Elephas maximus indicus: one gene and its partners. The protein of the gene in region 1 purifies or fractionates together with the protein of each later gene. This does not show direct contact. Links are inferred from orthologs where the notes say so. Each region holds a gene or a part of one and is shown in the gene's direction. Other genes may lie near its edges. The genes, in order: DIS3L, EXOSC8, EXOSC1 and EXOSC4.

What was found.
Region 2: the proteins of DIS3L (region 1) and EXOSC8 purify together in Homo sapiens (affinity purification with mass spectrometry; 4 studies listed by BioGRID and IntAct, counting the BioPlex papers as one, with this or other methods). This does not show direct contact. The link is inferred for Elephas maximus indicus from reciprocal best matches to the Homo sapiens genes DIS3L and EXOSC8.
Region 3: the proteins of DIS3L (region 1) and EXOSC1 purify together in Homo sapiens (affinity purification with mass spectrometry; 4 studies listed by BioGRID and IntAct, counting the BioPlex papers as one, with this or other methods). This does not show direct contact. The link is inferred for Elephas maximus indicus from reciprocal best matches to the Homo sapiens genes DIS3L and EXOSC1.
Region 4: the proteins of DIS3L (region 1) and EXOSC4 purify together in Homo sapiens (affinity purification with mass spectrometry; 5 studies listed by BioGRID and IntAct, with this or other methods). This does not show direct contact. The link is inferred for Elephas maximus indicus from reciprocal best matches to the Homo sapiens genes DIS3L and EXOSC4.

The regions. Positions count from the first base shown.
Region 1 is NC_064831.1:56,428,664-56,436,082, forward strand, and holds the start of DIS3L (DIS3-like exonuclease 1), read left to right. Parts: upstream 1-4,397; 5' UTR 4,398-4,503; coding exon 4,504-4,642; intron 4,643-6,248; coding exon 6,249-6,402; intron 6,403-7,419. UniProt on the Homo sapiens protein: Catalytic component of the RNA exosome complex which has 3'->5' exoribonuclease activity and participates in a multitude of cellular RNA processing and degradation events.
Region 2 is NC_064832.1:18,311,759-18,320,197, forward strand, and holds the start of EXOSC8 (exosome complex component RRP43), read left to right. Parts: upstream 1-5,149; 5' UTR 5,150-5,178; coding exon 5,179-5,213; intron 5,214-6,463; coding exon 6,464-6,500; intron 6,501-6,694; coding exon 6,695-6,758; intron 6,759-7,397; coding exon 7,398-7,471; intron 7,472-8,439. Other genes in the region: ALG5 (dolichyl-phosphate beta-glucosyltransferase), read right to left, coding at 861-929, 1,948-1,994, 2,371-2,542, 4,001-4,069. UniProt on the Homo sapiens protein: Non-catalytic component of the RNA exosome complex which has 3'->5' exoribonuclease activity and participates in a multitude of cellular RNA processing and degradation events.
Region 3 is NC_064834.1:49,201,802-49,209,335, reverse strand, and holds the start of EXOSC1 (exosome complex component CSL4), read left to right. Parts: upstream 1-4,272; 5' UTR 4,273-4,326; coding exon 4,327-4,357; intron 4,358-4,459; coding exon 4,460-4,575; intron 4,576-6,892; coding exon 6,893-6,967; intron 6,968-7,534. Other genes in the region: palmitoyltransferase ZDHHC16, read right to left, coding at 1-11. UniProt on the Homo sapiens protein: Non-catalytic component of the RNA exosome complex which has 3'->5' exoribonuclease activity and participates in a multitude of cellular RNA processing and degradation events.
Region 4 is NC_064833.1:814,563-822,784, reverse strand, and holds EXOSC4 (exosome complex component RRP41), read left to right. Parts: upstream 1-4,892; 5' UTR 4,893-5,017; coding exon 5,018-5,188; intron 5,189-6,294; coding exon 6,295-6,501; intron 6,502-6,600; coding exon 6,601-6,960; 3' UTR 6,961-7,375; downstream 7,376-8,222. Other genes in the region: GPAA1 (glycosylphosphatidylinositol anchor attachment 1 protein), read left to right, coding at 8,174-8,222. UniProt on the Homo sapiens protein: Non-catalytic component of the RNA exosome complex which has 3'->5' exoribonuclease activity and participates in a multitude of cellular RNA processing and degradation events.

The DNA.
Region 1 (7,419 bases):
TTTTTTCAGGCAAGAGGCATCAGACTTTTGTGAGGCAAACAACCAAAACGCAGTCTTGTCCATTGAAGATCACCAGTTGCGAGAACTAAGGGATCATGCTTTTTAAAACATGATTCGTACATTATTGCCACAATGCAAGCAAAGGAATACTTGATGGGCCTTGGATTATTTAAAGTACCTATAACACCAACTTTCAATACAGCCCCAGACACGCTCTCTTCCCTAAAAGATTACTTGTTGTAATTTGGATAAAGTTTAGAGCTACAAGGTGCTAAAGAGAGATGTTCAGGGCAGATTAGTATACAACCAACATTTCCCCCCAATATAACCAGAAGTAAAAGCTTTCCAGGGACTCGTGAGCAGCTGTCTGAAGCATTTTTATGTAAGGAATAAATTCAGCTACTTGCTTGTCCTCTGAGATCTCCAGAACTGACCTCCTGAATCAGGAAGGGCATCCTTGTGCTTTGGCCACAGACCAGCATTGGGCTGTGGTCCATATATTCCATTGGAGGAGCCCTGGTAGTGCAGTGGTTATGCCCTCTGCTGCTAACCAAAAGATTGGTGGTTCGAACCCACCAGCCACTCCCTGGGGGAAAAAGATGCATCAGCCTGCTTGCATAAAGGTTGCAGCCTTGGGAATACTAGGGGGCAGTTCTGCTCTGTCCTATAGGGTCACTATGAGTCAGAATCAATCAGACAGTAACAGGTTTGGTTTTTTGGTTTATGTATTCTATCTCTAGGAGCCCTGGTGGCAAAATGGTTAGGAGCTCAGCTGCTAACCAAAAGGTCAGCAGCTTGAATCCACCAGCTGCTCCTTGGAAACTCTATGGGGCAGTTCTCCTCTGTCCTACAGGGTCACTATGAGTCAGAATCAACTCAGATGGCAACTGGTTTTTTTTTTTTTTATTTCACCTCTGATCTCATTCATGTCATCTGACACTGCAGGATAACTTGACATAGGAATAGACAGGGGACCATGACTCTTTTAACATGTTCCCCTAGAGAGAAGCTACTGTCCAACAGGTTGCCCACTCACCCATCCACCCCCAGTTCTGCTCACTTCAGCATCATAGGAAGCTTTGATATTCCCAGCTGGCTGAGTGAGCTGCTTTAACTAGAGCTCAAGGAGACTATCAACTCCTTAGATGCAGGAGTTGTATATTTTATACATCTTGGCAAAGCACAGTAATTAGTTAAGAACCTGCTTTGGATTGAGTCAGATTCTGGTTCGAGTATTGATTTCATCACTTAATAGCTGGGTAACCTTGGCCTCTTAAACTCCTGTTCCCTCATCTGTAAAATGGGGCAACCAACGCCTAACTCCTTTGATTCATTGTAGAAATTAAATGTGACGTGTGTTCGTAAAGTTACTGGTACGGCTCAAAAATCTTTGTTGAGTACTTAGGAAAAACAGTGGGTTCTAGCCAACCAAGGTTGTATGATCTCAGAAGCTGCTGCTCTGTGAGAGCTCTTTATCAAAAGCCACAAATATATAAATAGTGATTGTGTCAGTGAAAGTTTAAAAGAGAATTTCTTTGCCAGAGGCTGCAAATGCTATAAAAGTTGAGGTTCAATAGATAGTGTTTGTCTCGAGGGAAGTGACTGGTTTTCATTTTATCTGCACTGACTTTTTTTTTTAATAATTTTTATTGTGCTTTAAGTGAAAGTTTACAAATCAAGTCAGTCTCTCACACAAAAATTCATACATGCTCTGAATTACTTTCCCCCTCATGAGACAGCCTGCTCCCTCCTTCCACTCTCTCTTTTCGTGACCATCTTTGCCAGCTTCTAAGCCCCTCTACCCTTGCATCTCCTCTCCAGGCAGGAGATGCCAACATTGTCTCAAGCGTCCACCCGAACCAAGTAGCTCATGCCTCACTAGCATCCCTCTCCAACCCATTGTCCAGTCCAATCCATGTTTGACGAGCTGGCTTCAGGGATGGTTCCTGTAGTGGGCTAACAGAAGGTCTGGGGGCCATGATCACTGGGGTCCTTCCAGTCTCAGTCAGAGCATTAAGTCTGGTCTTTTTATGAGAATTTGGGGTCTGCATCCCACTGTTCTCCTGCTCTCTCAGGGGTTCTCTGTTGTGTTCCCTGTCAGGGCAGTCATCGGTTGTGGCCAGGCACCATTTAGCTCTTCCGGTGTCAGGATGATGTAGTCTCTGGTTCATGTAGCCCCTTCTATCTCTTGGGGTTGTTATTATCTTGTGTTCTTGGTGTTCTTCATTCTTCTTTGATCCAGGTGGGTTGAGACTCATTGATGTATCTTAGATGGCCGCTTGCTAGCATTTAAGACCCCAGATGCCACTCTTTAAAGTGGGATGCAGAATGTTTTCTTAATAGATTTTATTATGCCAATTGACTTAGATGTCCCCTGAAACCATGGTCCCAGAACCCCTGCCCCTGCTTTGCTGACCTTCAAAGCATTCAGTTTATTCAGGAAACTTCTTTGCTTTGGTTTAGTCCAGTTGTGCTGACCTCCACTGTGTTGAGTTTTGTCCTTCCCTTCACCCAAAGTAGTTCTTATCTACTATCCGTTTAGTAAATACCCCTCTCCCACCCTCCCTCCCTCCCCTCTCTCGTAACCACAAAAGAGTGTGTTCTTCTCAGTTTAAACTATTTCTCAAGATCTTATAATAGTGGTCTTATACAATATTTGTCCTTTTGCAACTGACTCATTTCACTTAGCATAATGCCTTCCAGGTTTCTCCATGTTATGAAATGTTTCACAGATTCATCACTGTTCTTTATCAATGTGTAGTATTCCATTGTGTGAATATACCATAATTTATTTATCCATTCATCTGTTGATGGACACTTTGGTTGCTTCCATGTTTTTGCTATTGTAAACAGTGCTGCAATAAACATGGGTGTGCATGTATCCGTTCGTGTAAAGGCTCTTATTTCTCTAGGATATATTCCGAGGAGTGGGATTGCTGGGTCATATGGTAGTTCTATTTCTAGCTTTTTAAGGAAGCGCCAAATCGATTCCCAAAGTGGTTGTACCATTTTACATTCCCACTAGCAGTGTATAAGTGTTCCAATCTCTCCACAGCCTCTCCAACATTTATTATTTTGAGGTTTTTGGATTAATGCCAGTCTTGTTGGAGTGAGACGGAACGTCATTGTAGTTTTGATTTGCATTTCTGTCATGGCTAATGATCGACAGCATTTCCTCATGTATCCGTTAGCTGCCTGAATGTCTTCTTTAGTGAAGTGCCTGTTCATATCCTTTGCCCATTTTCTAACTGGGTTGTTTGTCTTCTTGTGGTTGACTTTTAGCTGAGTCATGTAGATTTCAGAGATCAGGTGGTCGGAGATGTGGTAGCTGAAAATTTTTTCCCAGTCTGTAGGTGGTCTTTTTACTCTTTTGGTGAAGTCTTAAATGAGCATAGGTGTTTGATTTTTAGGAGCTCCCAGTTATCTGGTTTCTCTTGGGCATTTTTAGTAACATTTTGTATTCTGTTTATGCCATGTATTAAGGCTCCTTACATTGTCCCTATTTTTTCTCCCATGATCTTTATCGTTTTAGATTTTATGTTTAGGTCTTTGATCCATTTGGAGTTAGTGTTTGTGCATGGTGTGAGGTATGGGTCCTGTTCCATTTTTTTGGAGATGGATATCCAGTTATGCCAGCACCATTTGTTAAAAAAGACTATCTTTTCCCCAATTAACTGACACTGGGCCTTTGTCAAATTGCACTGACTTTTTATATGTATTAAAAACACATGGAATTAAAAATAAATATAACTTCTTTAAGAGGAAAAAATGTTAGGCTGACTTATTTGCTGAATCTTTTGGCTCTTTTAGGGGTAGCAAGAGGATTGAACAGAAAACACTAATAATTACCCCACGTTAATAGGTAGCCCCATCCCCACATAGGCCTGGGGGTAGAATGAGAATAATGGTCCTTTATAAAAACCCCATTGCCGTTGCGTCTATTCCTACCCATAGCGATTCTACAGGACAGAGTAGAACTGCCCCATAGTGTTTCCAAGGAGCGCCTGGTGGATTCGATCGGTCGACCTTTTGGTTAGCAACCGAGCTCTTAGCCACCGCGCCACCAGGGCTCCGTAGTCCTCTATAAAAAACATAGTTGCGCTAAATCTTTCTTCACAGGAATTTAAACCATCCTCCCTATAATCCTTATCTCCCGTAAATCTCTGGGTAGATTTTTTTCCACCCCTCCCTGCCCCCTGGTAATTGGAGGATGAGGAGAAACTGAGGCGGGGGCTAGGTCCCGGGCTCGGGTTGGAGCACCCGACCCGCGGGCCTCCAGCGCCCAACACCGGGCCCGGGTGGTTACGGCGGTTTCGGTGTCCAGAGCGCCCAGGCTGCTGTTCGGCTGGTCGGGCCCAACTGGGAGCCCGGCGCGGAGGGCCGAGGGGGCGGGCCTGAAGCCGCGGCCTCGCCTCCGCCTGCGCCGCGCTGCGCCCGCCACTTCCCGGCCGCCCAGGGCGGCCCCGCGCGGCCCGGAGCTTTGCCCGGTCGAGTGCCGCCACCATGCTGCAGAAGCGGGAGAAGGTGCTTCTCCTGAGGACCTTCCATGGCCGGACGCTGCGGATCGTGCGGGAGCATTACCTGCGGCCCAGCGTGCCCTGCCACAGCCCGCTCTGCCCGCAGCCCGCCGCCTGCCGCAACGGTCAGGGCCTGAGAGCGAGCTAGGGCGGCCGGGGCCTGGCGGGAGCGAGGGGAGCCGGGCCTGAGAGGGAGCGAGGGGAGCGGGGCCGCCGGGGTGCTGCGTCCGCGGAGAGGCGGAAGAGGGCGGCGGGGAAACGGGGCGCGAGACCGCGGTGGCGCCTTATAAAATGGAAGGGCCCAAGAGCCAGACGCCCCCACTTGGCCGAGGCCCGGTGATTTGTGTTTTCCGAGGGGCCTGTGAGCACAGGAACCTGTCTCTTCTGGCCCCCAGGATCGTAGAGGGAGCAGGCGGGAGGTGAAACAGTGAGCCCCCGAGCCCTTAGACCTTCAGTGAGAGAGGGTCTGCAATCTCTTGCTGTAGCAAGCTGCTGTTGCTCATTTAATATTTTCTGCTTTGCTCCCCATAACTTTTCTATTCTGCTAGCAGTGACTCCTCAGACGTTTATCCAGTGGAGTGCCTTCTTCACTGTTGTGTGCTGTGGAGTCTGTTCTGACCCATATGAACCCGGTAGAACAAAGTAGAACTGCCTCATAGGATTTCCAAGACTAATCTTTATGGAAGCAAATTGTCACATCTTTCTTCCGTGGAGCACCTGGTGGGTTTAAACTGCAGACCTTTTGGTTAGCAGCCTAGAGGTTAGTCACGGTGCCACCAGGGCTCCTTTTCATCACTGTATGATTATTTATTATCTAGGCCCCTGGTTGTGCAGGAAGGTCTTAGGAAAGTTGGATTTGGAACTTGTGTGCACTAGACCTTCCCCCACAGTTTTCTAGGCTGCTTGGGTGATGCAAACGGTTACGTGCTGGTATACTAGCCAAAAGGTTGGTGTTTCAGCCTACTGAGAGGCACCTTGGAAGACAGACCTGGAGATCTGCTTCTGAAAGGTCCTGGCCTTGAAAACCCTATGAGCGGTTCTATTCTGCACACATGGAATTGCCGTGAGTCGGAATCAACTCTGGGCAACCAACAACACAGCGTTGTGGATTTAGTGATGAAAGATGAGTGTAGTGTCCTGTTCAGCTAATGTTTGGAATCCTTTGCTTTGTGGTTAGGATGAACATTTCAGTTACAGGTTGGCTAACCAGCTCTCCGCTACAGGGGTGGGGTAGGAATCCTTCCATTCCTTGGCTTCCACTGAGCATCTTTTCTAATCAGTTCAGTCTTTCTGGCCCTTGGCAACTTCTGGGCACATTCAGAAGGTGGAGATAAAACTGACTTGAAATTGTTGGGCATAGGCAAGTGGTTAACTTAAGTATATTTTGGGGTCCCCCACTTGAATGTGAGTGTTTATCGGCAATGAATTAACACAGATACAGGCTGTGCTGAAAATTTTCTTGTTTGTGTGACAACATCAGTCATCCTCTCCCTCTGCAGCTCCAGTAACACCATAAATGATATTGAGTGCTAATCACGCTTGAAGAAAAATGAAGGTGCTGCATTTACCTGAACTTTGACCTTCTACCAAAGTAGATTTGTCTTTTACAAACTTCACGGTGTAGTTAAGGATGGAAGTTGTTTTGCACACTGGGGCAGGATGACATTGAAATAGTAATAAACCAGATTTGAAAATGTTGTCTAATATCTTAAATTTTGACTTATGTTTCAGATGGGAAACTCTTGACTAGCGATGTGACTCATTACGTGATCCCTGATTGGAAAGTTGTCCAGGATTACCTTGAGATCCTTGAGTTTCCTGAATTGAAGGGAATTATTTTCATGCAAACAGCTTGCCAGGCAGTGCAGCATCAAAGGGGCCGGAGGTATCTGTTTTGCATTATTTTTTAATTTATGGTGTACCCCCCCTCCCGCCTTAGAAAAGATCCCATGTTGGGGAGAGGAGGAGGGAAGGAGTTCATTATTTTATTAGAAAGGACTTTTTGAACTAATTTGGTATTCTCTTTGCTAGTGAGGAATGCAGTAACATTATTTTGTTTCTGCTTCAACACCTGGTCTATAGATCAATAAACTGCAGTGTCCCCAGTATGTGGTTATTTAAGATTGCAGCCTGAACTTGGCTTTTGGTTTGCATTTTTATAGTAGTGGCGGTTATTGCATCTTTCTTTTTGATACATTATTTAATCTTGTTTGAGATGTATAAACATATTGTTTCTAAGCTTACATTTTTGGGAAAAAGAGAGTACTTTATTTTTAAATTTTAGACACTTTTGTGGACACAAATTGTATTTGTAATCACTTGTTCAGTGGAACCAGAAATGACTTGTTGTATTTTTGTATTACTAGTGGAACTACCACCCATAGTAATTGTATTTGCTAAACAAAGGATTTCTGATTGAAACCAGTCTAAAATGTTTGCCTTGTACCTAAATGAAAAATAATTGTCCACTTTTTAAACAAATATTCTAAAAAGTGATTTTGCCTGATTTAACACTGAGGAAAGGTTTATGATTTGGAGTTGGAAACTGTATGGAAATACCATGTTAAAATTATACATCAAACCTCTGAACACTCAAGTTATTTAAAAAGCAGAAAACTATGTGTTTATTCTTTTTGAAATGTGTCTTCTTCAGACCTTGCTGGTAAAAGATCATGTGTTTTTATTTGTATATGAAAGTGATAAATTGCCCTTATTGTGTACTCAGTTCAAAACAACGTGCATTAACTAGATTGTGTGCAGGGTTTTCCAGATAGACTATTTTAAAATGAGCTGGAAGTTGATGTTCAGTCACAGAGATATAGGTGTTTATACACATGCAAGTTTAAATGCTGCTCCAGGTGTCGTATTTCAATTTCTGCTACTAAAATCAATTTGTTGTTAT
Region 2 (8,439 bases), on another chromosome or scaffold:
GTGATGCTTGACTGTTAAGCTAAAGGTTGACAATCAGAAGCGCTATGGAAAGAACCAGAGCTATGGAAAAAAAGCTTGGTGATTAGTGTCCATAACGGTTATAGCCAAGAAAGCCCTATGGAGCAGTTCTGCTCTCTAACACATGGTGTCATCACAAGTTGGAGTCAAGTCAACTTGATGGCAACAGGCATGGTTTTTCTTATGTTGCCATTTAGCAAGAACATTAGTAGCACCGTAAATGAAATCACTTATTAGAGAAATGTGAATATCAAAGAAGAAAACGTGACACATCCTTCATAATACACAGATTTAGATATTTAGAGAGTACTTTATCAGGGACACTCAATATGTGACCTATTCCAAAGATCAATGCATCTCGACACGGCAATTATAGGTCTATGAATGTAGGAACAAGAGGCAATAAAGCTGAAGATGCTGTTGCCTCCTATGATGCATCTAGACAGGGGCATGCCAAAGGACATACCTGATACCCAGTGGCAGATATGAAGGCATCTTCCTATGTGCATGGCTGCTTTAGAAACTGTAAGGCAAGGTGGAGCATAAAGAAAGGAATTATGCTTAAAGACAGGAATCATAAGCTGGAAGGCAAAAAGGGTTCCCTAAGAGCTGTTGTTGGGTATGTTCCTTCCCTGTTTGGTGATTTTCAAAGCTTCCTTGGCCTTATGGAGCAATGGGACAGCTTTCCATAAATCTCTGTGTTTTTACTACCCATGCTACAACAATGGAGGAGATGTGGCATAGCTTTACGGGGTCTCTGGTGAGCAGAAATAAAATTTGACATTTGTTATAATATTCTTTATGTTCTACTTACTGGTAATTCTAAAAGCAAGTTTATTTACCTTTGAAGTCTGGTCTTCACTGCCATCATCAATTACTATCACCTCATATGTGAACACAGGATTTTGTTTCTGCAAGAAACAAAAATAAAATACCACAATCTGACATAATCAAAAATTTTAAGGCATTTAAAAAACCACTCTTTTAGTATCTATCCATATAAATAAGAATACACATACATAAAACAAAAAGGCTAAGAACAGGAACAGAGAAGGAAACACTGGCTAAATCTCTCTGTGCACTCTGCTCTTCCCCTCACCTCCCTGCATCACAGGGAAGAAGTCAGGGCCTTGGGAGTCTAAGACATATTTGGAACAGATTTGAAGTCACAGAGTCTACAGTCCATCCGGGCTCTATCACTTCTTAGCCTTGACCTTGGACAAGTTAACTTTTTTAGCTGGTTTTCTCATTTTTCAAAAAGGGGAAATAAAACCTAGTCCACGTGACTGGCGTTAAAAACACGTGTAATAGAAAAAGTAGAATCCTCACATATACAAAGAGCTCAATGCCCTTCATCTTTTCTTCGAGTTTTTACATATATAACACAGTCCCTATTTCAATGAATACACCCCAAATTAAAGTAAATCAAAAGAAGGAATTTTCTAATAAGAACCAGCCATAAAGCTCGGTTCATTGTTAAACTCCCCAAGGAGACGCCAATGGCCGCTGATGCTACAAAAGAGGGGCATATGTTACTTTTATGTAGAGAAAAGATAAGAATAATATCTGAGGGGGGATTCCTGAGAATAATAAAGAAACATACAAGGTCTGCAGTTATATGCTGTCACTCAATCTTAAATATATCATCAGGAAAGAAAGAGTAAAAAGTGTGTGGGAGAGAAACTTCCTTCTCTACTTTGTCCTGGGGGTGCCCACCTGCCTTTGGACGTTGTGGGCTACATGCTGGGCTTGCCTGCAAAAGGCTGACGGCCAGCTACAAGCTGAGCAGGCTAGAACCCAGCAGGCCGGAGAGCACAGCAATCAGGACTGCCCATGCATGGCTGGTGCTGCCTCTCGCACTGGGTCTAGCCTGGATGACCTGGTCTAGTTTTCAGTGGAGATATCAAATTAAAAGAGAAAACACAGTACCTGTCTCTTCTCTAGATAGTCCAGAGCTTCATCCATCATCACAGGCACTGAAAGAAAACCCATTAAAAATTGCTTCTGAAAATTAATCACAAGCCCCAGCACACCTAGTTTATGTATGGAAAAAGTCTGAAAAACCGAACTAGTCCCTCTGGGATTTGACCCAATGGTCACTGCCATCTGGAAAGTCTTCCTGTGTCGTGTTCACTTTTCTAGAACATATCCAGTCCTACTTCTTCATGTTCTCGCTCCTGTTCGTTACAGCTAATACCCATTCTCCCCTCTTCTGAACTACAACCATCGCCAACTCTGCCACTCACCACAGCCCACGCCTAATACTGTTCTGACAAAGAAAGTAAAGTCAAATACCTTAAATTTTCTTTTCTCCCCAAATTACTCCTTACCAAAAAATCAAATAGTGCTTACATCGTTTTTCTTCATTGTATGCAGGCACGAGAACAGAAAGCTGTTTGGTAGGTGAGTCCCTTATGCTAGGTAAAGGCTCCTTCTGGCCTCTGGCATTTAAGAAGGACTTCTCATCTTCATGTTGATGGAGGTGTGGCATTTTCAAAGCAGTTATAAATGCAACAAAGGAAATCTAAAAGCAGACAGGCAAAAGAGTAATCATTTTGCTGACCTTTTTTTACATTCATTTTGTTACAATACATCAGCTACCAGAGCTTCATCCATCATTACAGGCACTGAAAGAAAACCCATTAAAAATTGCTTTTGAAAATTAATCACAAGCCCCAGCACACCTAGTTTATGTATGGAAAAAGTCTGAAAAATCGACTTTTTCAGCGGAATTCTTTTTTAGCAGAATACTCACTTTCTGGAGTCCCTCGGTGGTTATCGAGTCTGCCCAGAGGTGACTCAGAAAAAAGGCCTGGCACCCTACCTCTGAAAAATCAGCCACTGCAAACTCCATGGCGCACATGGGGTCACCATGAGTTGGAATCAACTCAACAGCAACTAGTTTTTGATAATCACTGTTTTTAGTTCTTTAAAAATGGTCTAGAAGTGACCCTACAATTAGAAGACAGTCAGTGGCCTACTTATGAACCAATGATTGTCCTTTTCACCCAGCTAGTTGCTGACACACTAATGCCTCAGAAGGTTCTTTCTCTCTTCCCACCTGCCATTCCCCAGGCCTCTTAGGCCTCTGTCATTCAAATCTAATAGAGAACAGCCACTACAGGAAATCCAGCCGGCTCTCAGGTGTCCTTCAACTCTGATCATCAGCACTCACACAGTGAGGTTCCATCCTGGCAGCGCTGTGTAGGCTGGTAATCTTAATGTTAAGAGCGACAAACTTTTCTCCATTTACTAGACAGAAGGCTCATTCCAAATTATATGGGAAGAGGTCACTCGGCAATTTTTCTATTACTTACAGATCAGCAGATCAGCAAGTTTTAAAAATGTTTTCGTATTTCCTTAATAAATGACACAGAAAGTCTGAGTTTGAGTTCTGCCGTGTTGCCCCTTTTAAAGGCAGAAATTGTAGGCTATTTAATTCTGAGACATAAGGCCCCACAGACACATGGTAAAGTGATGAGCCTAGGCTTCATCTTTTCTGGTCATCCTGTGTCCCTAGTGGGTCTTCTTGATCCACTGACTTGTCCCAACCTGTAACAGGTGGCTGCTGTCAGTGCTCTGTCACCACTTTTTATTTCCTTAACCGTATCAGCAGAAGGGCACGTATTCTCAGGGCCTAAGACCACCCTGGGTGGGGCCAGGGCGGCAGAGGCTGAATGCCCTGGAGGGACTCTTAAAAGGGCGGGTGGGCAGGGTCCCTGGGGGCCAGGGGTGAGTGAGGTGGAAGCCGCAGGCTGGGTGGGCGCGTCCCAATGTGAGAACCGACACGGGCTCTGGGCATCAGAGAGGCAGTCTGCAAAGAAAAATAACGACCCGGAGAGAGGAGGAGTGAAGTTCGAGAAGAATTCTACGACCAAGGCTTGGAAGGAAGGGCGATGCGGCGGATGAGACGTCCGGGGAGCCGGAGCCTCCAGCAGGGCGGTGAGCCCAGGCCCACGTCGGTCCTAACCCCTGTCCTCACCAGTATCAGCGCTGCGGCCGCCAGCGCCACGCCGAGCACCCCCAGCTGCAGCAGCAGAGGCGACATCATCCATGCCAGAGCCGCCGTGCGGGCCGCCGCAGCCACCCTATCCCTCCCCTACACGCACGCGGAAGCAGGGTTCGCCCCGCCTCCCGCCACCAGAGAGGCCACGCCGGCCTGCGCCCGCCGGCCACAGCGCCCCCGCGCGGCCACGGCAGGCCACAGCGCCCAGGGCAGGCTGGCCCTTTCTTGGTATGGTTGCCAGATTTCCCAAGTAAAAACGTTAAGAAACCAAAACCCACTGCTCTGAGGTCGATTCCAACCCATAGCGACCCTATAGGACACAGTAGAACTGCCCCACAGGTTTCCAAGGAAGGCTGGTGGATTCGAACTGCGCACATTTTGGTTAGCTGCTGAGCTCTTAGCCACTGTGCCAACGGGACTATTTTGGGCCTACTCATACTAAAATATTGCTTATCTGATTGAACTGGGTGTCCTCTACCTTAGGAGCTAACCTAAAGGTCGGAGGTGGGAACCCACCAGCCGCTCCACGGTAGAAAGCTGTGGCAGTCGGCTTCCGTCAACACTGCGGCCTTGGAGACCCGATGGGCAGTTCTCCTCTGTCCTACAGGGTCGCTGAGTCGGAACTGACAGCAGTGGGCCTGTCCTGTTTTTCATCTAGCAATCCTAACCAGGAGGGTGGTGGAGGCCTTGAGCCACGACATAGTCTACACAACACAAGCTGCTCCTTCGGAGCCTTCTCCAGCTCTGCTGAAGTGTAGCCTGGTGCTGACCGCGACAGCACAAAAAGTTCGGTAATTCTCCCGTGTTGGGGAGACGCACGCTGCAGGCCCCGGCCACGACGGAGACGGGAAAGGACGTAGCCACTTTGAAATAATGCTCCACACTCAACGCTCGATTCTTTGTTATAAATTCGGCTCTCTTAAATTCTTGGCTTTACTCTCAACTAGCAGCATGCTTCCAAAGAGGGGCACCAAACACATCAAAGGCAAGAACGGCGACCGGAAGCCTGGCCAGGGACAGTTGAGCCCAAGCCGGGCCCGGCACAGCCCAGACCGCCACCGCCCCGAGCGCATCCCCGCCTTTCGCTTTCTCCGAGGCGGGCGAAGGGCGCGCGCCTCAGTGTGCACAGTGCGCAGGCGCACCCAACGCCGCACATGCGCGCCGGCGGGAAGATGGCGGCCGGCTTCAAGTGAGTGTCGGCGGCCCGCGGGCGGGACTTTTGGGTTCAGCGGGGCAGCCGCCGCAGGCTTGGGTGTCGGCCCCTTCAACGTTATAGCTAGGATTCCTTCACCTGGAAGCGGTCCCCGCCGGGGTCACACTTCTTTCCCTGCCCAAGCAGGCGACCAGAGCAGTTGCGGTGAAAGGAAAGGGACTTTTCCCCAGTGGGACGGGAGAGGGAAGGGTCTGGGTGCGCGGAGCCTTGAACCCCCTGCGAGCGCTCGTCAGCTGGCTGGGTGGACGTGCAGACCCGGGAGACCGGTTGTGATCACACGCGCCTCGTTCTCCTTTCTTGTTATTTATTTCTAAAAGGATTGTTGCTTGTTCGGAAGTTTGAGTTAAACCTTTCTGTGCCGCTCTGGTGAAGCCCTTGGTCGCCTGACAACAATGTCTTTAAAAGGATAAAATAAGAAAGGAAGCCAGTTATATTGTAATACATTTATGTATCTGTTAATACGAGTACTTTTTAAAGTGAAGTTTCTTAAACAAGATCTAGTGGTGAATGTAGTAATTACTGGAATTTCAGAGTAATGATGAGCCTAAAGGTACCTTAAAAAAAAAAAACCTTGGACAAGTAAAATGTAAAAGGGACGTATCCGTGGGTCTCACTGGTGCTATTAATGTTATTTTGGTTTATTGTCTGTGGTCATAATTGAAGGATATACTAAGTTTCCGTTGTACACCCATTGCCGTCGAGTGGATTCTGACTCATAGCGACCCTTTAGGACGGAGTAGAATGCCCCGTAGAGTTTCCGAGGAGCGCCTGGCGGATTCGAACTGTGGACCTCTTGGTTAGCAGTGGTAGCACTTAACCACGACGCCACCAGGGTTTCCAGCGACCCTATACGATAGTGAAAATAAAAATGTAACTTTTCATGCTCACTAGGTTAAAAATCTCAGCTTTAGAGCAAGAATAGCATGATTATTTTAACACCTGGATTAAGTCATTTTTAAAGATGTCCAAGGGCTTTGGTCTCTAACCCTGTAATTGTTTAAGGAAGAGTGAAGAATAGTGATTTAGTGCAATTGCTACTGTGATAGGGCTCTGTTTTTTATAATTACTTATAGGTGATAACATAGACATCAGAATTCATGTAAGAAACTTAGCTACAAATTTTGGAGATTGGCTGGATCACCAGACCCTTAAGAGCCTTGCCAGTTTTGGGATTTATGTTAAGATTCTTTAATTTGCCTGATAAATTTTTAACTCATGCATTTCAGAACCGTGGAACCTCTGGAGTATTACAGGAGATTTTTGGTCAGTAATGTCACTGTCTTTTTCATAACAATATCATATGCTTCTTTTAAGGACAAATTTCAGATATTCAAATTAAATAATTTGAATTTGAATTTATTTTGCATTAACATGGTTTAATGTGTTTTACCTGATTGTGTGTAAAATATACCTGTATATGTTCCATTTTCATATAAATAAACATTACATTTATTCAGAAAGAGAACTGCCGTCCTGATGGAAGAGAACTTGGTGAATTCAGAACCACCACTGTCAACGTAGGTGAGGATATTTTGAGTTCTAAAATAGGATGTTGATGTTAAGCAGTTTGTAAAATAGTATTTTTCTTAGTTTTTGTATATTAGTAGAGAATTATTTGTAAGTTTACTACCCTCTCAACTGATAAATTCATTTAAATTTCAAAATAACTATAAAGTGTTTTTTTCCCTTTCTTCCTTCAAAACCACAAAGACAAGGCTTTCTTATGGGCCTAATACTTATTCAGTCTTCTTGATGCAAATATGGTATTTTCCATTTCCAACTGTATGATATGCCCAAGTTCTAGCCTGTGAGCCACTTAAACATATTTCAGCCAAATCCTACCATGTCTATGGAATTGGAGTGATTTCTTCCTATTAGATTTATGTACACAACGATCCTGTGACTGTCCATGAAAAATGATTAACTCAAATTCAAGGGCAGGCAAATATTTCTTAAAAGAGTAATTTTAAATAGTTATAGCATTTTAAAATCAGACTCCTGAGCTATAAATTTTCATAAGCCACAGACTACAGATGTGTAGATGGCTAATATTATATTTAGAAAACTGAGGTTAACATTTTAGTTATTATATAGATAATTCTGTAGCTGTTTTTTTTTTTTTTTAATGAACTTTTTCATTTTACCTAAATATCTTTTCAGGTTCAATTAGTACTGCAGATGGTTCTGCTTTAGTGAAGCTGGGAAATACGACAGTAATTTGTGGAATTAAAGCGGTAGGTTTAATCTGTATCTTATTGATGTGAATTAGCAAAGTAGTGCCATATATTAGATTGTAATATACTGTTCTAATTCTACTCTTGATTAGGTAGCTAGGTATCAGTTGTTTGATATTTACTTTAATTTTCAAAGAGCTTCTACCTATCTATGAGTGTTACATAATACAGCCCTAGTTTAATGACTCAGTTATAATTTAGGAACATTTGTCAAATGTACCAAAATGAAATTATTTTTAATCTCACCACCCTTTATTTTTAGAAACTGGTTGTCATTGCAAATTAAGAGATTTTTGGCAGCATTCTTTTAGCCAGTGATGGCATTTAATCTGTGTGAAATGTGTAGAACATAGAGATTGTTGAAGAGAAAAGTGTGACACGATAATAGCTACCATTTACTGAGTGCCTGCTGTATTGCAGGTTCCTTGCTGGGTGCTTTACAGAATTATCCAGTTTAATGCCTCACACTCAACACTTGATTCTTTGCTATAAATTCGGCTCTCTCTTAAATTCTTGGCTTTACTCTCAACTAGCAGCATGTTTCCAAAGAGGGGCACCAAACACATCACTTGAGGTATTATTTCTCTGTCTCCTTTGTTTTACAGATGAGGTTCAGTAACTTGTCCAGGTACACAAGGTTCACAGATAAACATACGTCTGGCTCCAATGCCTGTGCTTTTTTACTACACTGTTCTCAGGGTTATTTAACCTAAGTTCAGATTCCTCCTCAGTAAAACTGGGATGATAACTAGCAATATGGTTTGAACATTTTACTTCTTGCCAGGTTTTGTGTTAGGGACAATGTGCATATTCTCATTCAACCCTCGTAACAGGCTGTTGGAGTAGGCACTATTATTTGTCCCATTTTTCAGATGAAGAAGTTAGAGGTTAGAGGTTAAATAACTTGATCAAGCTCTCTCTACTTTTGCTGTTGATTTCATCACACCAAAAACCAAAACCAAACCCAT
Region 3 (7,534 bases), on another chromosome or scaffold:
TGGCCCCGCATGGCTCCTAGGAGAGCATACCACTGTGAGGATCCAGCGTGGTTCCTGTCCCTCCCTATTCCCACCAGCAGGGAGACCCAAAGCACCAGCTTAGAGGACAAAGACCTAAGACTGGGACCCAGCTAGGCCAGTCACAAGCTGTGTGAAGTATGGAGGTCACTTCATTTCTTATGGGAATATGCAGTGCCAATGTCTCAACCAAGTTACATGGGAGGACTGCAGGTTCTTAGCCTACAGAAATCCTATATACATCATACCAAGTGGGTGCGCAGCAAATCTGAGGTGATGAACATCTAGAGTACAGGGCCATTATGGACTGAACAGTGTCCCCCATAAACGTGTTGTGAAACCCAACCTGTGGTTATAATCCCATTTGAGAATGGGTGTTCTCTGTTATGATAATGAGACAGTGTTAAGTGTAGAGTGTGTCTTAAATCCTAAAATCTGTAAAACCAGATTAGGCATAGAGAAGCACAAGGAGATATGAGACAGATGCCACACACCACATGAAGATCACCAAGGAACAAGGACCTTCCCCCAGAGCCAAGAGAGAAAGCCTTTCCCTAGAGCCAGTGTCCTAAATTTGGACTTCCAGCCTCCTCAACTGTGAGAAAATGAATGAGTTTGTTAAAACCCCCCACTTGTGGTATTTCTGTTGTAGCAGCACTACATAACTAAGACAAGGGCCACGGTAAAGGGGTGAAGGAGAGGCAGGCAGCTCTAAGCTCAAGAAGATTCCTTGGAGTTACCTATGTAGACAGATGACTGGATGGAGTATGGGTCTCCTGCATGCCCTGTCTCATCAGTCCTCCTCCTCACAACTGTTCTTCCCAAGAACAGCTGGCTCCTCTAAGTGGGGGAGTGAGTGCATGGCACACGGACCTTGCACCTAGATCTTCCTTGATGCTATCTGAGTCCTGCCCGTGCACTCAGGGCTGACTTTACAGGCCAGCAGACCCAAGCTGGCAGCATGAGATTCCCGTCTCCTCATCGGGACAGCTCAGCTGCTCCTTGCATAACACAAAATTCCTTATCTCCAATTCCAGCCCCAGCCCCAGCCCCAGCCCAAGGATACACAGAAGCCAAGACAACCTCAGGTATCCAGAGCAGAATACCACCACAGACAGTAAATACCAGCAGTGGGAGGGGCCCCCTGCTGCCCTTGGACCCAAGCTTTCCAGCCAGCTCTTTAGCCCTTTCCACAGCACCCCTGCAAATGCCTCCATCTCCTCTATGCTGTGTCTACCTCATCCAACAACAATGGAAGGAGGTCGGCTGCCCAGGCAGTGCCCAGAACAGAAGACAGAGATGCTCTAACAGATTCCTGTGATGATCCTCTCATCAATTCTGCAGATTAAAGTCCTTTAGCAGAAAAGAAAGTATTTCATTTTCCCCCAGGATGGCCACAGAGGGCTGCTTTGTCTTCAGCAACTCCACTGACTTATTTAACAGGCAGCTCAAAACCCAGCAGAAACTGGAGGAGGCTGCTCCACTCTAGGGAGGTTTCAATTCGGTAACCGGAGCAATGTCTCTCCTTGCACCCTGGCTCATCCCCACAAAAGGTCTTTCAAAGAAAGCACTTAATTACCTCCTTCCACAAGCCTTATAACTGCCTAAGGCAAACAGAAACCCAGCAGACATGGCTTACAAAGACAGGGAAGAAACACAAATCCACAGGGACCCATACTCTGCACCAGGGTAAAGGAACGAGCCATTCCTATCACCTCCTAGGAAACTAAGAGAAGGCATGTGGCGGGGGTAGAAAAGAGAAAAAGGAAAAATACAAACTTCCCACTTTCTCTGAGTTGGACTCCTATTGTTTGGGATCATGATTTGTCTTGAAGCATGAATTTTCAAAATAGTGGACAGCCACATCAGATCAAAGTGGGACAAAGCATTACCCCACAACAAATCCAGGTGGCTTTTGGATTGTCCACACCACCGTTCATTCCCTCATTATGGTTAATGGAGAGTTGCCTATGTATAGCTGGCAAATCAGTTGCATTCCTTACTTGTGAAAAATGTAAATTATATGCCACCGTAGAGCCAACTCTTCTAGTCAATAAAAAATACCTTCCTTCTCAGATTCACTGCTTTTCCCATCGTTCTCACCCACCTCTTGAATTTCTAAGCCCCACAGGAAAGCCCTGCCTCAAAAACTAGATTTAGTTTTTGAGTAAGTTCTGTGATCTTGGGCAAATCATTTAATCCTGCTGGGACTCAATCTCCTTGTGTTCCCATACAATGAGAGGGTAGGATTAAATGCTAAGGTCCTTTCCAGCTCTAACCCTTTGTGATTCTATGTATATAGTTAATAAGGTATAAAAACCCACTGCTGTCAAGTCAATTCCGACTCATAGCGACCCTATAGGACAGAGAAGAACTGTGCGGTAGTTTCCGAGGAGCGCCTGGCAGATTCAAACTGCCGACCTCTTGGTTAAGAGCCGACCTCTTGGTTAACAGCCGACCTCTTGGTTAACAGCCGACCTCTTGGTTAACAGCCGTGGCACTTAACCACTACGCCACCAGGGTTTCCAGTAAGGTATAAATGAAATGTTTATAAAGTGCTTAGCACAACGATACCTGCCTCATAGAAGTGCTTGATAAATACTTGAATGAATAAATGACCTGGAACACTTGGATGAGTGATGCAAAAGTGGAAAGGCTGGTCAGATGTTTATCTGTCCTACAAATACCAGCAAGGATACTCCTAATGATAACAATTGCCGCTACCATTCTTCTTGATCAAAGAGAAACTGCAACTGCTATTAGAATCATACCACTTAAGAGCTAGAAGACATTTAGAAAATAAGTCCAACCTGAAGCCAACCCAAACACATAAACAGTTTGTATATGCAGAGTACAGAACAGATTTGAGTGTACAAAGTAGGAAGCCAGAGCTCCCCAACTTTAGCTACTGGGGAGGGGATGCCAGGAAAGAGATGTGTATATAGTCCATCGGCTACAATAAAGCATATGGAGTTTTCATCTCAGGAAATTAAGGTGGGGGGGCAGACCTCAAAAAAATGGGGGGGAGGATTTCAGAGTGAACAGGGGAGGAAGTAGAGCAAAACAGTTTCACTGTCACTCCAAGAACAAGCCCTGAGCACTCTGACCCCTCAGTGGTAGCCACAGGCCATAGTGACATCTGCCAGCCAACTAGGGATTGTAGGCCACAGCACTAAAGGGAGAATCCCTTCTTCCCAAGGCACTAAATCACCATCTGCCTCATAGGGAAGCTGGAAATGGGGGTGGGGAGTAGACAGAGAGGGATAGATTCCAAAGCCACCAGCAGGCAGAGGAAACAGATTAAAAGTCGTGGCAAATCTCATCTGAACAAAGATGCTGCTCTCAGGATATCTGCAATCTCAAGCAGCAGAACTCGGGCGGGCATCAGTAAAGGGCAGCATTTTATTCATTTGCATGACTTCGCTTCCGGACTAACGTGCTGGGAAGAAAACAGAGTGGCAATATCAGAAGCTAAGGATGGGCCCACACGACCAGAGCTCCGCTTGAGAGAATCCGACTGCAGAATCCGAAGCTGCAGTTAGAGAAATCGGGAAGAGGTTTTATTTCTCAAGGAGGACGGCGTGGTCAAAGTGCGATGGGCTGAAAGTTAAAAAAAAAAAAAAAAAAAAAACTCCTGTGTGGACTCTACCTTGAACTATCTCCGAGACTTTGAACAAGTAAAATCCTGTCTCTGGATCTGAATTTCCAAATCCATGAAATGAGCGAGTTGGGTTGCTTGGCCTTCCTGCTCCGCTCGTTACCGCTGCCCGGAGGGTGCGCTTGGCCGAGCCAGCGAAGGGCACGGCCCTGCAGGGCGGAGCAAAGAGAGCAGGAACCCGGGGACTCCACAGGGCTCCAGGAAAGGGCCCCACCTCAGAAAAAGGGACCAGGATGGCGAGCAAGAGCCGCGGCTTTGCTCTTACCTGCCGGCTCTCCGATTAGCTAAATCCAGCCCCGCAGGCTCCGCCGCCCTTCACTGCCAGCCCCTCCAGCTCGGCGCCCAGACTCAATCCGACCCAGCGTGGCCCGCCGGCCGCAACACCAGCGGGGGGACCCGGACCCACAGCCAGCCCATCCTCGACCACAGACAGGCGCAAGCGCAACAGCAGGAGCCCTGGAGCTCCGCCCCGGGACCTGTCTCGGGACAACCTGGGATATGAAGTTTGTCCCTCGAGGAGGGGGTGGGACTCCCGTAGATCACGTGATAACACACACCAATTGGCGCGTTTGTTACTGACGAGCTGTGCCTGGATTTGGCCAATAAGAAGTCGGCCTCGTTTTCATCCGGGCTCTGGGACAGTGGCTGTCATGGCGCCCCCCGTGAGGTACTGCGTCCCGGGTAAGTGAGCTGTCTGCCGAGTTTTGGATTGGGACAGAGGCCGGAGGCTGGACGGCCAACAGCTCCTGGGGGTCTGTGGCTGACGCGGCGCTTCTTCTGCAGGCGAACGTCTGTGTAACTTGGAGGAGGGCAGCCCGGGCAGCGGCACCTACACCCGGCACGGCTACATCTTCTCGTCGCTTGCCGGCTGCCTGACGAAGAGCAGCGAGAACGGCGCGGTAAAGGCGACGGCCTTCCGTCCCCTCGGTCTCTTTCTCTTAGGCTTCCTTTGATTTCGCGGTTCTTAGGCAGGGGCGCTGAGAACGCGTTTTCAGTGCCTCACCAATAGAAAAACTAGGTCTCTGAATTTTTTCCAGCTGTAATCTTCGTTGCTGTGCGCCTGGCCACCCTCGACCAGCTGTGGTGATCTGGCTTTGTTGTGCTGCTAACACTCGGGGTGGGAGGTTGGGGGGAGGAGAGGTGAGCTGACAGTAACCCAGCCCAGGCGTGAGCTGAATGCTGAGTGTCGCCTGGCTTCAACCTTCTTCACTCTCTCCACCCTCGTTCTTTGCGATCTCGTCATATTGGCTTCTTCCAGCGTCGCTAAAGCGTTAAGCTCTCTCCTGCCACAGAGCCTTTATACATGTGCCATCAGTCTGGAACATGCTCCACTCCCTCTTAGCCTAGTTAACACCTATCCTCCTTCCTACCTATTCCCCTCAGCCTAGTTTTTCTTCTCCTACTCTACATACCTATCCTAGTAGTCTCTCAAGTATAATCTCAAAGAAGCCCTCCTGAACCCACTAGTTGGGGAAGAGCGTTTTGTGTCTTCTCGTTTGTCGTTTATTTGTTTTGTTAAACACTCTCAGCTGTATTCCTTTCCTTCCAAGCACTCATTTCAGCTTATAATTAAACAGTCATCTATATATTGCCTACTAGACTCTTAAGTTCCAGGAAAGCAGGCCTCACCATCATTCCCTCAGCACCTAGCACAAGGTAGATGTTCAATAAATGTTTGTTGAATGAATAAGTAGTACTATCCACACTGACCCAAGGCGTGGTGTTTTCATTCGCCTCAAATGCATGTGAAAGCTGCACAGTGAATAAGGAAGACCAAAGAAGAATTGACGCCTTCAAATTATGGTGTTGATGAAGAATATTGAATATACCGTGGACTGCAAGAAAAATGAACAAGTCTGTCTTGGACGAAGTACAACCAGAATACTCCTTGGAAGCACGGATGGCGATACTTTGTCTCACGTGCTTTGGACATGTTATCAGGCAGGATCAGTCCCTGAAGAAGGATATCATGCTTGGTAAAATAGAGGGTCAGTGAAAAAGAGGAGGACCTTGAATGAAATTTGATGGCGCAGGACTGGGCAGTGTTTCCTTCTGTTGTACATAGGGTTGCTGTGAATTGGAACCAACCTGATGGCACCTAACAACAACATCCTCCCTAGTTCCAGAGGCTGATCCAGGATTAGCTCAGGATCAGCTGAGCAATCTTTGAAGGAGCAGCTTAAGACAAGTAGCATAGTAGAAAAAGGATTCAGAATTATAACATGTAGGTACTGACTCAGTAGACCTTGATTCTGCCTCAGTTAAAAGATTTAAACTCTCTGGCATTAGATTCTTCCTCATCTGTGAAATGAGGAGCTTTTTATTCAACCAGTTGTGAAAATATCCTTAACATTCCTTAGTTTGTTCACAGAGGTCTGTTGAGCATTTTCACATGCCAGGCCCAGTGCTAACCTCTGAGGGTCTAGTAATAAACCAAATACAGGTAATCTCTGCCATCAAAGGGGCAGAAACATGAATTGTAAACAAATGCCCAAATGAGTATATGGCTGCAAGCGTGTGAGTGCTTTCAAAGAATATTACAGAGTACCATGAGGACCTATAGCAGACAAACCCAGCTTAGTCAACAGAAGTAACATTTAAGCTGAACCTAAAGGGTAAGTGGGAGTTGGGTAGATGGGAGAGGATAGTACTGACAGAACAGAGCTCCTGAGTGAAAGGAAATTTAGTGAGTTGAAGAAAGTGAAAGAAGGCCAGGAAAGCTGAAGCATAGTGAGCAAGGGGGAGATTGTTAAAAAATGAGGGAGCAAGTGCCAATACCATGCTCAAAGAGAAAACTCTGGAATTATTCCCTTAAAAGAGAGCAAGTATGGCCACTATTAAATAACATTGATTTGGAAATTCTAGCCTGTGCAAAAAAGTAAACAGAAAGAAGTAATAAAATTTTGGAGGAGCCAAATCATCAGTGATCATAGGCAATATGGTTGTTTACCTAGACGATCTAAGAGAATCACCAAAAAAACTTATTAGAACTAATTCGAAATTGTTACAGGATGTTTTCTGGCAGCATTCTTCCCATGACCCCTTGGTTCTCCCATCTTGGTCCTCCCATTTCCTATAAATGGGTTATAAATCAATCCATGGTAGACCTGCCCTGGTGACCTTAACTGGGACCGAGGGATTCCTTTAGTATTCCCAAGCCACAAATAACTTTACTTAGAGCTTAGCCAGGATTCCCATTTTTTATTCTCTCTGTAGCTTCCTGTGGTATCTGTGAGGAGAGAGACAGAATCTCAGTTACTGCCAGATGTGGGGGCTGTTGTAACCTGTAAGGTAAGTTGGTCCTAACCTCCCTGCTTAGGACACTTGTCCAATGCTGAAATCGCAATCATTCTAGAGCTTTGCTGTCCAGTACAGTAGCCATTAGCCACATACCCAAAAAGCCAAACCCATTGCCATCGAGGCAATTCCAGCTCATGGCGACCCTATAGGACTGAGTAGAACTGCCCCACAGAGCTTCCAAGGAGCACTTGGTAGATTTGAACTGCTGACCTTGGTTAGCAGCCATAGCACTTAACCACTATGCCACCAGAGTTTCCACTAGCCACATATGGCTATTTAAATACACTTAAATAAATGAAAATTAAATTTAGTTCCTTAGTGACACTAGCCACATATCAAGTGCTCAGTAGCCATGTGTGGTAAGTGGCTGCCATATTAGCCAGTACAGGATTTCTGGAAGTTTTATCGAACTGTGCTGTTCTGGAGATTTCTAGGATAATGATCAGCGTAGTCCACTTAAGCATGTGTAGCTCTTTCTCTGAGCTGATTCCCTGGGTATATAGTTTCTACCTGTGTTTGAGAAACAGGGCCACCAGAGGGAGGTCTATTTTTGAACAT
Region 4 (8,222 bases), on another chromosome or scaffold:
CAAAACTACGGAGACAGTGAGAAGAGCAGCGGTTGCCAGGGGCACAGGGGGAGGAGGGAGGGATGACCAGGTGGAGCATTGGGCTTTGGGGGGCAGTGAAACTGTCCTGTGTGATACTGTGATGGTGGATATGTGCATTATGCGTTTGTCATGATCCACAAAACTGTACAACACAAAAGTAAATCCCAGTGTAAACTATGGACTTAAGTTAATAATAAGGTACAAAAAAATACATATATCTCCAGTGTCTGGCTCCTCCAAAAAGTGGCCATGCCCCACTGATGGGAAGGCCAGCTGCCTCCCACTGCAGCCCAGCAGAGCCCCCCCAGTCTGAGCTGCCCACCTCTCTCGGCATCCTTGAACTTGATAGTCCTGCGCCGGGGCAGCCGGGGACTGGCGGGCACATTGGCCAGGAAGCCAGAGCCACAGAACCCCAGACCGCTGCTTCGGTTCCTGAGCACCAGCTTCAGCTCCTGGTTCTCCTGGATGAGCTGCACCAGCCGCCGCAGCTCCTCATTCTCTTGTGCCAGCCGCTGGATCTCCTGCCGCAGGCCTTCGTAGCTGCTGAGGAGGGACATGCCCGGAAGCAGGGGCAGCAGCTGGCCAGCAGCCAGCAAGCTGGCCCAGGGCAGTGGAGCCCACCATTGTGAGGTCAGCAGCTGCCCCTGCCCCGTGCCTCGGCCACATTCCACATTCCAGGGCTTAGGGCCCCAGGCCCAGTTATCCCAACCCCTCTGGGTAGGCTCACTTGACCTTTGACCTGTGGGCCCCTATGCCCTATGAGCTTGACAACCAGCAGGTGCCCAGCCCTGCCCCAGGTGGGGGAGGTGGGGGGTGGGACCCCAGAAAACCCCTTCCTCGGGGGTAAAAGCCTCTTTGTCCTCAGCTTCGCTGGGGTGTGCTGCTGGGAGGGGTGGGGGGCAGGATTCAAGCATTCCCACCCACCCACCTGGCCTCCCTCGCAGTGGCCACCAGAGGAATCAACATGGCTGACACCCTGGCCTTGGACTCTCAGCCTCCAAAACTGTGAGAATAAACTTCTATTATTTAAAGCCACCCACTTTGTGGTATTTTGTTATGGCAGCCGAGGTGGGAGCCCACCTGGGGGCACCTCAGAAGAAAGGCCTGAGGAAAAATCAGCCACTGAAAACCTTGTAGAGCACAGTTCTACTGTGACACACATGGGGTCAGCGTTGGGTCAGCCGCAGCTGGTTTAAGACATGGATGCACCCCTGACACCCATCTGTGGGCCAGAGGGGTTGCTATGGAAGAAGTACGGCATACCCTCTTCCCAGCCCTGGTACAGTACTGCAGGGGTTCTGCCAGGGTGACGGGAGGGCTGGCAGCTCCACAGCTCTGCTGAGCAGCTGACTCTGTTTGGAAGGCAGTGTGTAGAAACTCATGCCTCCGGGGCGTTGTTAAAAATTCAGCTCTTAGGGGTGTCATCAATCCCGAAAAACAAGTTATTTCTGATACTAATAGCAACAAATGAAACCAAAGACCACCCAGAAGTTTAACAGAGAAAATCTGGGAAAGAGACAGCTAAAAAGGACTCAGCCAAGACTACATTCATTCTTGGCGGCCCCGAAGGCTGTGCACAGGCACGAGGCTGTGCCCACTCGGGCTGCCAGAGCAGGTACTTGAGAGCCACTAGTCCCTGGGTGCTTTCCTCTCCAGCTGCTTCTTTAACAAACTGCCACAAGCTTAGTGGCTTAAAACAACAGAAAGTTATTCTTACAGTTCTGGAGGCCAGAAGCCTGAACTGAGTCTTCTGGGGCCAAAATCAAGGTGTCAGTGGGGCCGGTTCCTTCCGGAGGCTCCAGGGGGCCTGTGCCTTGCCTCTTGCAGCATCTGGTGGCTGGTGGCCCATGACTCCAGTCTGTTTCTCTGTGGTCACTTTGCTTTCTCGTCCGTAGTCACATATCCCTCTGCCTCCCTCTTATAAGAACACTTATGATTAGGTTTAGGGCCCACGGGGTAATCCAGGATCCCCTCCTCCATCCAGTATGGCTAGGAGAAAAGGACTATAACCCATCTCAGCGTCAGACCAGGTGCAGCCGCAAGGCTCTGGCTGGCTTGCTAACCCTGGTGCCGCCATGACTGACTAGACTTGTGCTCCCTGGGAGGTGGTATTTCCCTAGCCCATCACAGTAAATCCATCCCACGTGCTCTTTTTAAAATGCAACATTGGCATTCCTCTCATAGGGCAGTGGGGTCTATGTCCTCTCCCCTTTAGCCAGGGCAGAACTTTGGGACAGCCTTGACCCGTGGAGTGTTGCCGGAGTGACAATAGTGATAGTAATGTCTGGCTTCTGAGGCGAGGTCATAAAAACACCATATACATCACCCTGCCTCTTGGGATGCTCACCCTTATATCCCTGCCGCCATGCTTCGAGGAAGCCCAAGCTACATGGAGAGGCCACATGTAAATGTTCTGACAGCCCCAGATGAGGTTCCAGCCAACAGCCAGCATCAACCAGCAAACATGTGAGTAGGGAAGCCTTTAAGATGACTCCAGGCCCAGCCACCATCTGGCAACAACCACACAGAAGATCCTAAGTGCAAACCGCCTAGCTGAGCCCAAGTGACCCCTCGAACTGTGAGAGATAATAACATGTTTTTGTTATTTGAAGTCACTAGGGTCTGGAAAGTTTGTTATGTAGCAAGAGATAAATAGACACACAGTACCTTTTTGAAAAAAAATGAAGGTATCTTCATTCTCAAAGGAAAAATAAAAAGGAGGCCCATTTTATTGTGGTGTGGGGGCTGATGTAATGGGGAGACAAGTGGATCTGAATAGTGCCAGGTATGGACCAGGCTGGGATACAGCTGAGAACACCTTCTCAGCCCCCTTCAAACATGCCTCTGCTCTGGGTCAACGTTAGAACCATGTCCGTTCATCCCTTCACTTTCAAACTTATGGCGTGGAATCTGCCTCCTGAGCCGCTGCAGCGGGGCTGCATAATGCAGCCTGTAGGAGCGGAGATACTAGCTCCGCACTGGTGAATGGTAAGCGCTAGGAAACGGGAGACAGGAGGTGCCAGGGCAGGAGGTCCCCTTCATTTCTTCTTCCTGTAGGCAAAACAGCAGTTCCTGGAGGAGCAAATCCAGGTAACCAAGTCATCGGACCCCATGAGGTGAGATGCAGGAGTCCACCAGGGCCAGGAAATGCAGGAGAGAGTAACAAAGCTGTGCTGGGTAACACCTCGCAGGCTGGCCAGGATTATTTTAAAATCTGTGACATTTACTTCTGGTGGGAAAGAAGGGAAAAAGGAACTCTGGTACATACAACCTTCACCCAGAAATCCTACTCCTTGAGCACACTGGCTCCCCGTCATGGGAATGGCCAGAACGAATCCTGGTAGGGTACTCCATGGATGTCAAGCAGCCAACGAAAAACCAACACGAGCTCCGTTGGACTGTTTGGAGAGATTTCATGAGGAGTTTCTGGAAGAAAAACAGAAAAGTATGAAATGATCCCATTTTAAAAAATAACCAGAGATCCCAAAGTCCCTGTGTGGCTGTATGTGTACAAATGCATGTGTTGGTGTGTGATTTGTATGGAACTACGGGAGCATGAAGACAAATACAGAAGACACTATTTGTTAGATCATTAAAGTAGATGTGGAGGGTGGCGGTGGCAACATAAGAACCAAGCAAATGAAGAGAAATTTTAAATTGCCTTAGCAGCCATCTAAGATGCATCAATTGGTCTCAATCCACCTGGAACAAAGGAGAATGAAGAACACCAAGGACACGAGGTATTTATGAGCCCAAGAGACAGAAAGGGCCACACTAACCAGAGACTACATCAGCCTGAGACCAGAAGAACTAGATGGTGCCCGGCCACAACTGATGACTGCCCTGACAGGGAACACAACAGAGAACCCCTGAGGGAGCAGGAGAACAGTGGGATGCAGACCCCAAATTCTCATAAGACCAGACTTAATGGTCTGACTGAGACTAGAATGACCCCAGAGGTCATGGTCCCCAGACCTTCTGTTAGCCCAAGACAGGAGCCATTCCCAAAGCCAACTCTTCAGACAGGGCCTGTAAGACAGGAAATGATACTGGTCAGGAGTCACCTTCCTGGATCAAGTAGACACATGAGGCTATATGAGCAGCTCCTGTCTGGAGCGGAGATGAGAGGGCAGAGCGGGTCAGAGGCTGGCAGAATGGACACAAAAATGGAGAGTGGAGGGAAGGAGTGTGCTGTCTCATTAGAGGGAGAGCAGCTAGGAGTATACAGCAAGGTGTATGTAAGTTTTTGGATGAAAAACTGACTTGGTTTGTAAGCTTGCACTTAAAGCACAATTAAAAAAATATATATCCAAAATAGATAGTTTTTCCTTAAAAAAAAAATTAAACTGCCCTTCAAAGAACAGGACCACACATGCGTATGATGTAAAATTGTGTCTAAACGGTAAGAAAGTGAAACGACAGGAAACGGTCTGCTTGCAGAGTAGAGGCTTCCACTCCGACAACCGCTGGCTTCGCCCGGAGAACCTCGAAGGCGCCTCTCAAGAAGCAGCAAAGTCGAGCCAGTTGGCGCCGGGGACTGAGCGGAGCTGGACCCGCAGGCTCGGCGCCCTCGGGCCTCCGGGTTCTGGCCAAAGAGGTGCGCCCGGCGGGGCTGGGGCGGGCGTCCTCTGCCCACCGGTGTACCGAAGCGCAGCGGCGGCCAGAGCGGGAGGGCCCCGGGGCCGTCAGAACAGCGCCCCGCCGCAGGAAGGCTCCGCCACCGGCCGCGGCCACAGGCTTCCGTCCCGGGCCAGTGCAGCGGTCGTTCCCCGGGACCTGAAATGCGGAGTGGGGCCCTCGGAACTGTAGTTCCCGAGGTCGTAAGTAGTGACACGACCCCCGGAAACCCAAGTCCAATTGACCGGAAGTGGGCGCGGACTCGCCGGAAACCGAGATCCTGGAAGTCGGACGTAGGGAGCGGGGCCGCCGGGAACTGTAGTTCTCCGCGAGCGGGGCTGGCTACCTAGTGGCATGGCGGGGCTGGCTACCTAGTGGCATGGCGGGGCTGGAGCTGCTATCGGATCAGGGCTACCGCGTGGACGGGCGGCGAGCCGGGGAGCTGCGCAAGATCCAGGCGCGGATGGGCGTGTTCGCGCAGGCCGACGGCTCGGCCTACATTGAGCAAGGCAACACCAAGGCGCTGGCGGTGGTCTACGGGCCTCACGAGGCGAGTGGGTGTGCACCGGCCGGGCTACCTCCGGGCAGGTGGAGGGATCGGGCCGAGGCGGGAGCCGCGGGGCGCGCGGGCCGCGCGGGGCGCGCGGGGCGCGCGGGGCGGGGTGCTCCTCGGTTCACTGAGCAGAGGCGTCAGGGCCGCATCTCACTTGGAGTAGAAGCCGAAGTCTTCACTTGGGTGCCGCACGTGGTCCGCACTTCTCATCGGCCTTGTCCCTTGCGCGCTGCATTCTTGTTCGCTGTCCCTGCGGGTGCCGCGCGCACCCCACCGCCCCACCTGGGCACTCAGCCCTGTGGCTTGTCCGTCGCCGTCCGGATGATAGCGTAGCGGACCCCGTTATCCACGTGGCAAATTCTCTCTACGAGCGCACACCTCTATTCCTTTCTCTACCTTTTTGTGCCTATCACCTGAAAACATCAACTTTCTCAATAGATGAAATTTATGTTTGTCTCCCCCACTGGAACATAAACGCCACGAGGACACGGTGGGACCATTAGTTTTTCTGCCGCGCCCCCAGCACTGTCACAGTGACGGCGGCGTAGGCACTGAAGAAAATGTTTGCTTGGCGAATGAGTCTGGGGCTCAGCTTTCCAGACTGAGAGAACCAGAACGGTGGGAACCAGCACAGCGTGTGTGCAGAGCAGAAAGGCTACTGGTTGGTCGAAGGAGGAATAATTCCCGATGAGGTTGAGGGGTTTCCAGGAAGGAGAGGATCCGGGACCTTGTAGACCAGGGAAAGGTTTGGGGTTTATTTCACACGCGGTATGAAGCCTTTGAAGGTAAGCAGGACATGTGAGTGTGTAGGTGAGAACCAGACTTGGTGTTTGTAAATAAACTCTGGATGCCCCGTGGAGGGTGGAAGTGGGTGGGGCAAGGATGGAAAGAGGGAGGCAGTTTAGAGAGATGTGATGCCAGAGGTGATGGTGGCTTAGGCTGCCCAAGTGGGCCTCCCTCAGGCTGTGTTTCGGAGGTGAGTAGCTACCCTTTGGTGAGCCGTTGGAGGTAGGGGGAGGGGCTGAGGTTTGGGCCTGAGCCACAGAGGACAGGGAAGCGTGTGCTGGGAGAAGTGGTCCGGCTCATGGGCCCTTCCTCCCTAGATCCGGGGCTCCCGGGCACGAGCCCTGCCTGACCGGGCACTGGTGAACTGTCAGTACAGTTCAGCGACCTTCAGCACAGGCGAGCGCAAGCGGCGACCACATGGGGACCGCAAGTCCTGCGAGATGGGCCTGCAGCTGCGCCAGACCTTCGAGGCAGCCATCCTCACACAGCTGCACCCTCGTTCCCAGATTGACATCTATGTGCAGGTGAGCAGGCAGCAGCCCTCAGCCTGGGGGCAGGGATGTGGGGATGGAGCTGAGGGTTCAGCAGCCTGACCGACCGATGGCCTCGGGGGCTCCCTGCAGGTGCTGCAGGCAGATGGTGGGACCTACGCAGCTTGTGTGAACGCAGCTACCCTGGCAGTTATGGACGCTGGTATACCCATGCGGGACTTTGTGTGTGCATGCTCAGCTGGCTTTGTGGATGGCACAGCCCTGGCGGACCTGAGCCACGTGGAGGAAGCAGCTGGTGGCCCCCAGCTGGCCCTGGCCCTGCTGCCAGCCTCAGGCCAGATTGCACTGCTGGAGATGGACGCCCGGCTGCACGAGGACCACCTGGAGCCGGTGCTGGAGGCTGCTGCCCGGGCTGCCCGCGATGTACATACCCTGTTGGACCGTGTGGTCCGGCAGCATGTGCGAGAGGCCTCTGTCTTGCTGGGGGACTGACCACCTGGCCACCACGCTCTGAATAAAGTCCTGCTTCTCTGCTCACACGAGCCCTGCTGTGCTTCAGTCCCCACCCTCCCCACAGAGCTTCCACGCCCCATAGCCTGGCCTGGTGTTTGTTCCTGGGATAACCAGAGGCCCTCGACCATATGTCAAGTGCATACCTCCTGCACCCTCAGGTTTCAGACCTGAAGAGAAAGATGGAGCTGGGCCTGGGGGGTGGTCTCAGTGGAGAGAACAGCATGACCAGGAAAGGCTGAAGGCAGAGAGCTTTGACGTGGGCCTGGCAGAAAAAGCCAGGCCGCTACACTGTGGGGTTTGTACATCACCACCCACCACACCCTTCTAGGGGGCCTGAGCATAGGGCTTGAGAGAGAACTCAGTAGCTGTGGGTACCAGCAAGGGGATGTGGAGCCATCTCCCACATCCTCTGGGCCACGGCTCAGACTGCATGTCTCTTGGGCTCCAAAAGTACAGCAGACGCCTGCTCTCACTGGTGTCTTCTCCCTCCGAGGTCTGACCATCCCTGGTCGGACACACACACCACAGCCACTGCACCCTCTGCAAGCTTCCCTTTCAACAACCTCCTTTCTGAAGATTGGCTCCACCGCCTGCCACAAACCGGCCTGAGCCTGAGCACCAGCCCCTGCAGCGGGCACCAGGGTTAAAATCCCAGAGACCTGGACTAACCACCAACTCCAGTCACTCGGCTCTGACAGTGTCCAAACTTGCCGGCCTTCCACCCGCCTGCCCTTGTAACCCTTCTCTGATTCCCCTGCCAGGCGGGGACGCCCAGCTATCGGACGGCGCCTTCTTGCTGCCCCGTCCCTCCCCTGCCAGCTCAGCCGGCAGCCGCTCATCTTCACCACCTTCCCCAGTCGTGCGGCCACCCGCCTCCCTCTGGCGCCGCGGATGGCCGGCCCGACCCTCCCGGGGGCCGCTCCCTGCAGATCTCCAGTTTCCGACCCCAGCTGGGCCCCGTGACACCGACGCCGCCGCCCCGGGCCCGGCCGGCCTCGGCTCTGGGCATGCGCCGCGGGGGCTCCCGGGGCAGGAAGTGTGGTGCGCTCACCGGAAGTGCGTGCGTGCGTGCGTGCGTGCGTGCGTGCGTGCGTGCGTGCGTGCGTGCGTGCGGGCGGGCGGGCGGGCGGGCGGGCGGGCGCGGAGTCCCGGATGACGAGAGCGCTAGCTCGGCCGTCGGAGACAGCCAGCCATGGGTCTCCTGTCGGACCCGGTGCGGCGGCGCGCGCTCGCCCGCCTCG